Linked DNA regions of Saccharomyces cerevisiae S288C. The gene in region 2 interacts genetically with the main gene of each other region. Each region holds a gene or a part of one and is shown on either strand. Other genes may lie near its edges.

Evidence for each region.
Region 1: mutations in PFS1 (region 2) and MAL12 together harm fitness more than expected from each alone (negative genetic interaction), as found in Saccharomyces cerevisiae (2 studies listed by BioGRID).
Region 3: mutations in PFS1 (region 2) and YSR3 together harm fitness more than expected from each alone (negative genetic interaction), as found in Saccharomyces cerevisiae (2 studies listed by BioGRID).

What each region holds. Positions count from the first base shown.
Region 1 is NC_001139.9:1,074,442-1,078,201, forward strand, and holds the start of MAL12 (alpha-glucosidase MAL12), read left to right. Parts: upstream 1-2,157; coding exon 2,158-3,760. Other genes in the region: MAL11 (alpha-glucoside permease), read right to left, coding at 1-1,372.
Region 2 is NC_001140.6:474,127-477,182, reverse strand, and holds PFS1 (Pfs1p), read left to right. Parts: upstream 1-1,842; coding exon 1,843-2,556; downstream 2,557-3,056. Other genes in the region: ubiquitin-binding TORC1 subunit KOG1, read left to right, coding at 1-1,184; SSP1 (Ssp1p), read right to left, coding at 2,724-3,056. UniProt on the Saccharomyces cerevisiae protein: Involved in the pathway that organizes the shaping and sizing of the prospore membrane (PSM) during sporulation. Required to localize MPC54 to all four spindle pole bodies, and localize DON1 and SPO14 to four prospore membranes.
Region 3 is NC_001143.9:533,407-537,109, reverse strand, and holds YSR3 (sphinganine kinase YSR3), read left to right. Parts: upstream 1-1,828; coding exon 1,829-3,043; downstream 3,044-3,703. Other genes in the region: DYN1 (dynein heavy chain), read left to right, coding at 1-1,463; MRS4 (Fe(2+) transporter), read left to right, coding at 3,646-3,703. UniProt on the Saccharomyces cerevisiae protein: Dihydrosphingosine 1-phosphate phosphatase required for efficient ceramide synthesis from exogenous sphingoid bases. Involved in endocytosis and calcium-mediated signaling.

The DNA.
Region 1 (3,760 bases), on a different chromosome or scaffold from region 2:
TTCCAGAACCAAAACCCATTCCACCAATAATAAATAAGCAGACCATTTGAAATGCAAGACCATAGGTCAGTATTGTCCATCTACCAACACGGCCAGATATTACCCAGGAGCAAAGTGTACCCGCTAACCCAAGACAGTACTGAATTAGAGAAAAAGTAAACGCCTTGTCGGTGGCCATACCTGCTCTTTCAAAAAAATATGTCGAGTAACCAAGTAAAACGGCACCGCTACTATTTTGAGCTACCCAAGTTAAACATGCAAGTCTCGTTCTTCTTCCATTAACTCCCTTGAAACAATTAAAGAATGATCCTGATTTAGATGCTAAAAGTCTTTCTTTTTCAATAGTCAATTCAATCTGCTTTAAAGTAAGATCAACTTGAATGTCCTTCTCGGCGCCTTTACCACTCAAAATTCTGCTTAAAGATTTTCTTGCCTCAGCGACCCTATCCTTTCTCACCAACCACCAGGGCGACTCAGGAGCGAAAAAGATACCGATCATTAAAGGAGCAGGCCAAATCCATTGTAAAGCAAATGGCAATTTATAGCCCAAGTCGGAGTTCCCTAAATTCTCTTGTGAGTTTTTCATAATACCAGAGGCGAAGATTTGACCAAATAACCAACAAATGTTGGAGTAACTGGTCATGTAATATCTTAATGCTAAAGGGCAAACTTCCGAAGCATAAGTAACAGCCAAACTTTGGAAACAACCCCATGGTATAGCTGAGAGAATTTGTCCCACAGCAATCATAGCTAAACTTTTACAGTAGTAGAGGATAAAGATATAAGCAGTTAACAAACCAAGTGCTGTAATCATCGTATAACGATTCCCCATAAATTCAACCATATAAGTCGTGATTTGCAAACCAATCATCTCACCACAAAGGACACACATGTTTAAACCAATCTGCCATTGGGAAGTAATTTCGTAAGAACCCTCCCCGTTCAAAGTACCGAATTTTCTCTGAAAAACTGGCAGGGCATACAGTGCGCTCAGTAGTGCGGTATCATAACCTTCCATAACCAGGGTAGTAGACACTAATATGGACCACAGGGCTGCTTTTGGATATTTTAGCAACGCCTGCTTCAAAGTCATGCTTTTTTCCTCGCTGTTAGCTTCATTTGCATCATCAGTAGCGTTCATCTCATTAATCACATTCTCGTTATCTTCGTCAGAATCTCCTAACTGGGCTGAATTGGTGGTGAACTCTAAGTGGTCTAGCTCAAAGGCACTATCCTTTTTCCCTTCTTCAAAATCTTCAGTATTGAAAACCTCCTGTTGGTTTACAATATCTCTTGAAGACTCAGAAATGTTTTTATCCTCATTTTTTGAGGCAGCCTTCTTCTTGCTTACCAATGAAATGATATTTTTCATATTATACTATTTTTTTAGTTGTTTGATGTTCTTCTATGTAGCATCAGAAAGAAACACCAACCCGAAAATTCTTCAAACAATCAATACCAAACCGCTTTATATAAAAAATTAAGATGTCGACATTCCTTATTTTTTACTGAGTTCGTTAAAGTTGGGTACACTCTTGATTACTGTAATTGTCTCTGTATGTCCCTCAAGCCCGGTACGTTGTCATTTTCTAGTACGCATCAACGGAGTGTTACATGATAGATAGACCGAGTAGAATCTATGGCTATGGGGTAATTAAAACCTTAAAGCTCCTTTCGCTGCCATAGTAATACGAATAGACCTTGGCTATAGTAAGTTGCATCTGTACCGTAGAGATTCTTGCAACTCGCTTAAACTCTCGCTTTTAGATAATATTTCTCCTTATTGCGCGCTTCGTTGAAAATTTCGCTAAACACGGGGTTTAAGTTAAAGTTTACAGGATTTATCCGGAAATTTTCGCGGACCCCACACAATTAAGAATTGGCTCGAAGAGTGATAACGCATACTTTTCTTTTCTTTTTTTAGTTCCTAGCGTACCTAACGTAGGTAACATGATTTGGATCGTGGGATGATACAAACAACGTAAGATGAATAGTTCCTTCCTCAATTCTTCTTGCAGCATCATTTTCTTGAGGCGCTCTGGGCAAGGTATAAAAAGTTCCATTAATACGTCTCTAAAAAATTAAATCATCCATCTCTTAAGCAGTTTTTTTGATAATCTCAAATGTACATCAGTCAAGCGTAACTAAATTACATAAATGACTATTTCTGATCATCCAGAAACAGAACCAAAGTGGTGGAAAGAGGCCACAATCTATCAAATTTACCCAGCAAGTTTTAAAGACTCCAATAACGATGGCTGGGGTGATTTAAAAGGTATCACTTCCAAGTTGCAGTATATTAAAGATCTTGGCGTTGATGCTATTTGGGTTTGTCCGTTTTATGACTCTCCTCAACAAGATATGGGGTATGATATATCCAACTACGAAAAGGTCTGGCCCACATATGGTACCAATGAGGACTGTTTTGAGCTAATTGACAAGACTCATAAGCTGGGTATGAAATTCATCACCGATTTGGTTATCAACCACTGTTCTACAGAACACGAATGGTTCAAAGAGAGCAGATCCTCGAAGACCAATCCGAAGCGTGACTGGTTCTTCTGGAGACCTCCTAAGGGTTATGACGCCGAAGGCAAGCCAATTCCTCCAAACAATTGGAAATCTTTCTTTGGTGGTTCAGCTTGGACTTTTGATGAAACTACAAATGAATTTTACCTCCGTTTGTTTGCGAGTCGTCAAGTTGACTTGAATTGGGAGAATGAAGACTGCAGAAGGGCAATCTTTGAAAGTGCTGTTGGATTTTGGCTGGACCATGGTGTAGATGGTTTTAGAATCGATACCGCTGGTTTGTATTCGAAACGTCCTGGTTTACCAGATTCCCCAATTTTTGACAAAACCTCGAAATTACAACATCCAAATTGGGGGTCTCACAATGGTCCTAGGATTCATGAATATCATCAAGAACTACACAGATTTATGAAAAACAGGGTGAAAGATGGTAGAGAAATAATGACAGTCGGTGAAGTTGCCCATGGAAGTGATAATGCTTTATACACCAGTGCAGCTAGATACGAAGTCAGCGAAGTTTTCTCCTTCACGCACGTTGAAGTTGGTACCTCGCCATTTTTCCGTTATAACATAGTGCCCTTCACCTTGAAACAATGGAAAGAAGCCATTGCATCGAACTTTTTGTTCATTAACGGTACTGATAGTTGGGCTACCACCTACATCGAGAATCACGATCAAGCCCGGTCAATTACGAGATTTGCTGACGATTCGCCAAAGTACCGTAAAATATCTGGTAAGCTGTTAACATTGCTAGAATGTTCATTGACAGGTACGTTGTATGTCTATCAAGGTCAGGAGATAGGCCAGATCAATTTCAAGGAATGGCCTATTGAAAAGTATGAGGACGTTGATGTGAAAAACAACTACGAGATTATCAAAAAAAGTTTTGGTAAAAACTCGAAGGAAATGAAGGATTTTTTTAAAGGAATCGCCCTACTTTCTAGAGATCATTCGAGAACTCCCATGCCATGGACGAAAGATAAGCCCAATGCTGGATTTACTGGCCCAGATGTTAAACCTTGGTTTCTCTTGAATGAATCTTTCGAGCAAGGAATCAATGTTGAGCAGGAATCCAGAGATGATGACTCAGTTCTCAATTTTTGGAAAAGGGCCTTGCAAGCCAGAAAGAAATATAAGGAACTTATGATTTATGGTTACGATTTCCAATTCATTGATTTAGACAGTGACCAGATCTTTAGCTTCACTAAAGAGTACGAAGACAAGACGCTGT
Region 2 (3,056 bases):
AACCTGGCAGTGTTGAGTATAATGCTAGATTGTGGAGACGTAACAGAAATGAAACTATTATCCAGGAAACACAGGGGGAGAAAAAATTATCGATTTATGGGAATTGGTCCAAAAAATTGATTAGTTTAAATAACAAAAGTCAACCAAAACTGATGAAGTTTGCCCAGTTTGAAGATCAGCTGATTACTGCAGATGATAGAAGTACCATTACAGTTTTTGATTGGGAGAAAGGAAAGACTTTGTCCAAATTCTCCAATGGTACTCCTTTTGGCACAAAAGTTACTGACCTGAAACTCATTAACGAGGATGACTCCGCCCTTTTATTGACAGGTTCTTCAGACGGTGTTATCAAAATATACAGAGACTACCAAGATGTCGACACCTTTAAAATTGTATCCGCCTGGAGAGGCTTGACCGATATGTTATTGACACCTAGATCCACAGGTTTACTAACCGAATGGTTACAAATAAGAGGATCATTGTTAACAACTGGTGATGTTAAGGTTATCCGTGTCTGGGATGCGCATACAGAAACGGTTGAAGTGGACATTCCTGCAAAAACATCATCTTTAATTACATCCTTGACGGCTGATCAGCTAGCAGGTAATATCTTCGTAGCAGGGTTTGCAGATGGCTCCCTGAGAGTATATGATCGCCGTCTCGATCCAAGAGATTCCATGATACGTCGCTGGAGAGCTGGAAATGATAAGCAGGGAGTTTGGATTAACAATGTTCATTTACAAAGAGGTGGTTACAGAGAATTGGTCAGTGGAGCTACCAATGGTGTTGTAGAGTTATGGGATATAAGGTCCGAAGATCCGGTAGAATCGTTTGTTGATCAAAACGTAACTTCTCAGTACGGTTCGCAACAAAAACCAACGACAATGACGTGCATGCAGGTTCATGAGCATGCTCCGATAATTGCGACAGGGACTAAACAAATAAAGATATGGACGACATCTGGAGATCTTTTGAATTCTTTTAAAAACTCACATAATAATGGCGTAACAAGTACATTAGCCGCTACGGGAATCCCAAAGTCACTGTCCTACTCTTCCACTTCTGATGCATTTTTATCTTCGATGGCTTTCCATCCTCATAGAATGATGATTGCGGCCACCAATTCTCACGATTCTATTGTAAATATCTACAAGTGTGAAGACGAGAGAATTGATTATTTTTGATATGTGCCATTTCTTTTTTTTTCTTTCATTTAGCTGCAAAAGAGATATATATATATATATATATATAATCTATTATATAATAAAAGTCGAGTAAAAAATTGGTCTGATTGTGAATTTAACAGCTGGTCGCAAGTTCTGGAATTTGTTGTTAATTATTGTTTCATGTTCGTATAATAATACGATGTTTAGTAAAGCAGAAAGTTCAGAATATTAAAAGTCTGTTCCAATAGTGTAGCGGCTATCACGTTGCCTTCACACGGCAAAGGTCCCGAGTTCGATCCTCGGTTGGAACATTTTAACATCGATTTTTTTGTTTGTCATAGCCAGACCAATTACGACGTTTAGAGGCATGCACTTTGTTAAATATTTTTTCTCTCTCCTTCGACATATTTTTTTTCCTGTTTACGTAACATTCATCCCCAGTCTTTGTATCATTTTTTTTTTTTTTTGGTGATGCGACAGCAATTCTGGCCGACACAGTCGTTTTCAAAGAAAAACTACCACAAACTATGGAACATAATTGAAAACAAAAACATTTACTTATAACCTACATAATGATTGAAGATACTTCATTGATCTTTACCACCTTCCTCGTTGAAATCTTTTCTACCATAGTCAGTATTTTTGGGAATTTTATAAAAACGCAAATTTTATCGAAATGAATCAAGGTTACACACAGCTTTCCGCACCGGAACTGAAGGAGACTAAAACATCGAAGCTAAATAAAATGAACAACTTTCGAAGCTCTCCGATTGCTGAGATAATTAATAAGATACCACCAGATTGCGGGAAGATACAGAATACAACATTTCCTGAGTTCAATCCAGCGTTAAGAAGACGACAACACGAACAGTGGCCTGCATACGAAAAACCAATAAGAGTTACTGACAGTATGTCACCACAGCTTTCTTCAATCAATTGTTTGCCAAATTTGTATCCCCACGGTACGCTACCATTACCAAACCCTTATTTATCCTATTTAAATCACATTGAAAAAGTTAATTGCCAAGATGTCAAGTTTAGTAACTGGAGTGTTTTACATAATTCGAATAATGGATTTGAAATTCCGACATATTTCAGTCCACGGACAACACAAAACATGCCTTGTTCCGAAAAAGTTGAAAGCTGGCTTGAAAGATTACCAATTTTTGTGGGGTTCGACGGTTATTTATTTACAAACTGCTTTGATTATGAATATATGTTGGATTGGGAAGAGACAGAATTTACATTCGAGAAAACATCATGTATGGAGACGGATTATTCTAAAGCTTTAACCGATACTGATATTATATATATTCAAGAGAAAAAAATTGAAGCGTTGATAAGAAACCAATATCTGAAGGAGTATGAATTTTCTCAAAAAGATTTTTGAATTTTGAAGAAAGCCATTAATATTTAAATGTAATTTTGTGTAGAATTATAATAAATTGATGTTTATGTATAGATCTCTCGAAATATATTTAAGAATATATAAATAATAAATGTACAACAATAAGCATAGAACATGGAATGAGTGTTCAAACTATATTCGTTTGTTTTTTAGATAGGAGTTCTCCAGACGTTTTCATCCAAGTTTTGTTTTGCATCATTTAAAGCTGCAGCAAGAACTTTGCTTTCTTCACTTGCAGACTCCGGTTTGACTTGAGTTTTTTTAATGGAAAGATTCCTCAAACTAGCGGCATTGACATTTACATTTCTTTTCGTGCTTCTTAAAATCAAGGAATCATTTGATTCGAGATTCTCCTTCTTTATTTCAGGTTGCGATATCGATGGAACTTCTGCAGTTGAAGAGCTGATATTTTTTGCCTCTTTCTCTTCTTTTTCCTGAGCGAGAAGTTCAACTAATTGATCGGGCTCAAGTTCTTTCGCAGA
Region 3 (3,703 bases), on a different chromosome or scaffold from region 2:
AGTTTTTCCCACAGTTTGATAATCTGGTAGAAGAGTATTCTATTATCGGTAAGCATAGTGTCAAAATATTCTCTATGTTGGAGAAGTTTGGTCAGTTTCATTGGTTTTACGGCATTTCTATAGGACAATTTCTATCATGTTTCAAACGTGTCTTCATTAAGAAATCTAGGGAAACAAGAGCAGCTAGGACACGGGTAGATGAAATTCTTTGGCTATTATATCAAGAAGTATATTGTCAATTCTCCACCGCTCTTGACAAAAAATTTAAAATGATTATGGCTATGACGATGTTTTGTTTGTATAAATTCGACATTGAAAGTGAACAATATAAAGAGGCAGTTCTAACTATGATTGGAGTTCTCTCTGAAAGTAGCGATGGCGTACCAAAACTAACCGTAGATACAAATAATGATTTGCGGTACTTATGGGACTATGTTACAACCAAATCGTATATATCTGCGTTGAACTGGTTCAAAAATGAGTTTTTTGTTGATGAGTGGAATATCGCGGATGTGGTAGCCAATTCCGAGAACAACTATTTTACAATGGCAAGCGAGCGAGATGTTGATGGCACATTCAAATTAATCGAATTGGCGAAAGCCTCGAAGGAATCGTTAAAAATCATCCCGCTAGGGTCTATAGAAAATCTAAACTATGCTCAAGAGGAAATATCAAAATCTAAGATAGAAGGTGGTTGGATATTATTACAAAACATACAAATGTCGCTATCATGGGTGAAAACGTATCTGCACAAGCATGTTGAGGAGACAAAGGCGGCAGAAGAACATGAGAAATTCAAAATGTTCATGACATGCCATTTGACTGGTGATAAACTACCTGCCCCATTGCTACAAAGAACTGATAGATTTGTGTATGAGGATATCCCAGGTATACTAGATACCGTCAAAGATCTATGGGGTTCTCAATTTTTCACTGGTAAAATTTCAGGAGTATGGAGCGTGTATTGTACCTTCCTATTGTCATGGTTTCATGCCTTGATCACTGCCAGGACCCGATTGGTTCCTCATGGGTTTTCCAAGAAGTATTACTTTAATGATTGCGACTTTCAATTTGCCTCAGTGTATTTAGAGAATGTATTAGCCACCAATTCTACCAACAACATTCCTTGGGCACAAGTGCGAGATCACATAGCTACGATCGTATACGGAGGAAAGATCGATGAAGAGAAAGACCTTGAAGTGGTCGCTAAACTTTGTGCGCACGTATTCTGCGGCTCGGACAATTTGCAGATCGTTCCTGGGGTACGAATCCCACAGCCTCTTCTTCAACAAAGTGAAGAAGAGGAACGGGCAAGGCTTACTGCCATACTGTCTAATACGATTGAGCCTGCAGATTCACTCAGTTCATGGCTTCAATTGCCAAGGGAATCTATTTTGAATTACGAACGTCTTCAGGCTAAAGAGGTGGCTAGCTCAACTGAACAACTTCTTCAAGAAATGTAGCCTTTTCAGGTACGCGTGTCTTGCTTGTCCGCGGTTTTCTCAGTGGACGTGCCTATTCTGGGTTCCTCTTGTTTGATGAGACTCTGATATCTACAATCCAAAAAAATCGGTTGTAGGAAGATGGCGTGCTTCTAATTAAAGTAACGTGGGGACTCTTATTTAGATACTTCCTAACTACGAGCACGTACGTCTAGAATTCATGTTATATAACATAATGATTTTTCCTTATTTTCTTAGTTTTTATCAGCCTTGCCTTGGCTTCCTTCTCAACATCTAGTTGAATTGATAACATGACAAAAAGAAGTTAGGCAGTGGTAGTCTTCAAAAAAATATACAAAATAGCAAGCCTGTAAAAGAATTTAATTATGACCATTATTCAGACGGTTACTGAATTGGGTGTTACCGAGGACACCATTAAGGTTCAGATGGCTCCTTCCGGCGGCAAACACCTATTGGCAGATCCCGGTAATCATCCAGCGGAGCATTTTGAGAGCCAGATGTCGTGGCTAAGGTTTCAAACAAGGCAGTATCTAACTAGATTCACAGACAACCAATCAGATTTCGTACATTCTTTACAAAAAAAGCACAGAACGCCTTTTAGAGACGTTTATTTCAAATACACTTCGCTTATGGGTTCCCACATGTTTTATGTTATCGTGCTTCCCATGCCTGTGTGGCTTGGATACCGCGATTTAACACGGGACATGATCTACGTTCTTGGTTATTCAATTTATTTGAGTGGCTACTTAAAGGATTATTGGTGCCTACCAAGGCCAAAATCACCGCCAGTTGACAGAATCACACTAAGTGAATACACTACGAAAGAATATGGTGCACCCAGTTCACATTCTGCTAACGCTACTGCGGTAAGTCTATTATTCTTTTGGAGAATATGTTTATCTGACACACTGGTATGGCCAACAAAGCTTCTTTTACTGAGTCTGGTGATATTTTACTACTTAACCCTGGTTTTTGGTAGAGTTTACTGCGGTATGCATGGTATGCTGGATTTATTTAGCGGCGCCGCAGTTGGAGCTATCTGTTTTTTTATAAGAATCTGGGTGGTGCATGCTTTACGAAATTTCCAGATTGGTGAACATCTCTGGTTTCCCCTTTTGAGTGTAGCATGGGGCTTGTTTATTCTGTTTAACCACGTCAGGCCCATTGATGAATGTCCTTGTTTCGAAGATAGCGTAGCGTTCATTGGCGTAGTCAGTGGGCTGGATTGCAGCGACTGGTTAACCGAAAGATACGGATGGAACCTTGTATGTAGTAGGTACGCATCATGTGGTTCTAAGGTGTTCTTGAGGCCTCTGGTAGGTGTCGCTTCTGTGATTGTTTGGAAAGACGTCATTAGCAAGACAGCTGTCTACACGCTGTTAATTAAACTACTCAGATTTCACGATGATAGAAGCGAAAAGGTTCATTTCCATAACGAGACAAGTGAAGAAGAAGAGTGTTTATTGTACAGCGGTGTTTCCAAAGTGGAAATCGTCGGAAGGTTTCTCATATACGCAGGTATACCTACAACCGTCTTTTTGCTATGCCCAGTTTTTTTCACTTGGACAAACTTAAGGTAGACTCTCGTATGTATGCATTTAGTGACTTATACATATATATTGTATCTACATAACACATCATTGAAATTCACCCCGATGAGTACATATTTGGAATTCAGCATTTTTTTTTTCTCGCTTTTGATAGCCAGCCCATCTATGGTGCTTACTAATGTATAGAGAGGATATAACAATGAAAAATCAAGATTTCAGGCATGAGTCAAGACTTTAGCTCTTTTATATACCTTCAGGATGTTCGTACCATGCGTCGCAGGCCCTAGATCGGCGTTTTGGGTTTTACACATGCATGTTTGCCGTGGTTCACCCTCTTTTAACCCACAGGAATCGCTACTTTGACACCCCCGATCGTGTCTCTTTTCGGTATTTTGGCACCCTTTCTTGAATGAGAGCATGGCGAAGACTGAAAGGCAAGAACACCCTGCTATCTTTTGCCTACCATTGGCGAACGTCATCTTATCTAAGTAGTAAGCTGTATATAAAGATATTTGGAGGTTTTATTGGAATCTCATAGAATTTTCACTTTATCAGAGGTTTATTGACGAAGACTTTCGTGAGAAGTACAAAGTGAAGAAGTAAAAAACTCAACCGAAATATCAGTTAATATTATGAATACTTCAGAACTGTCAATAGCTGAGGAAATCGACTACGAAGCTCTTCCATCAC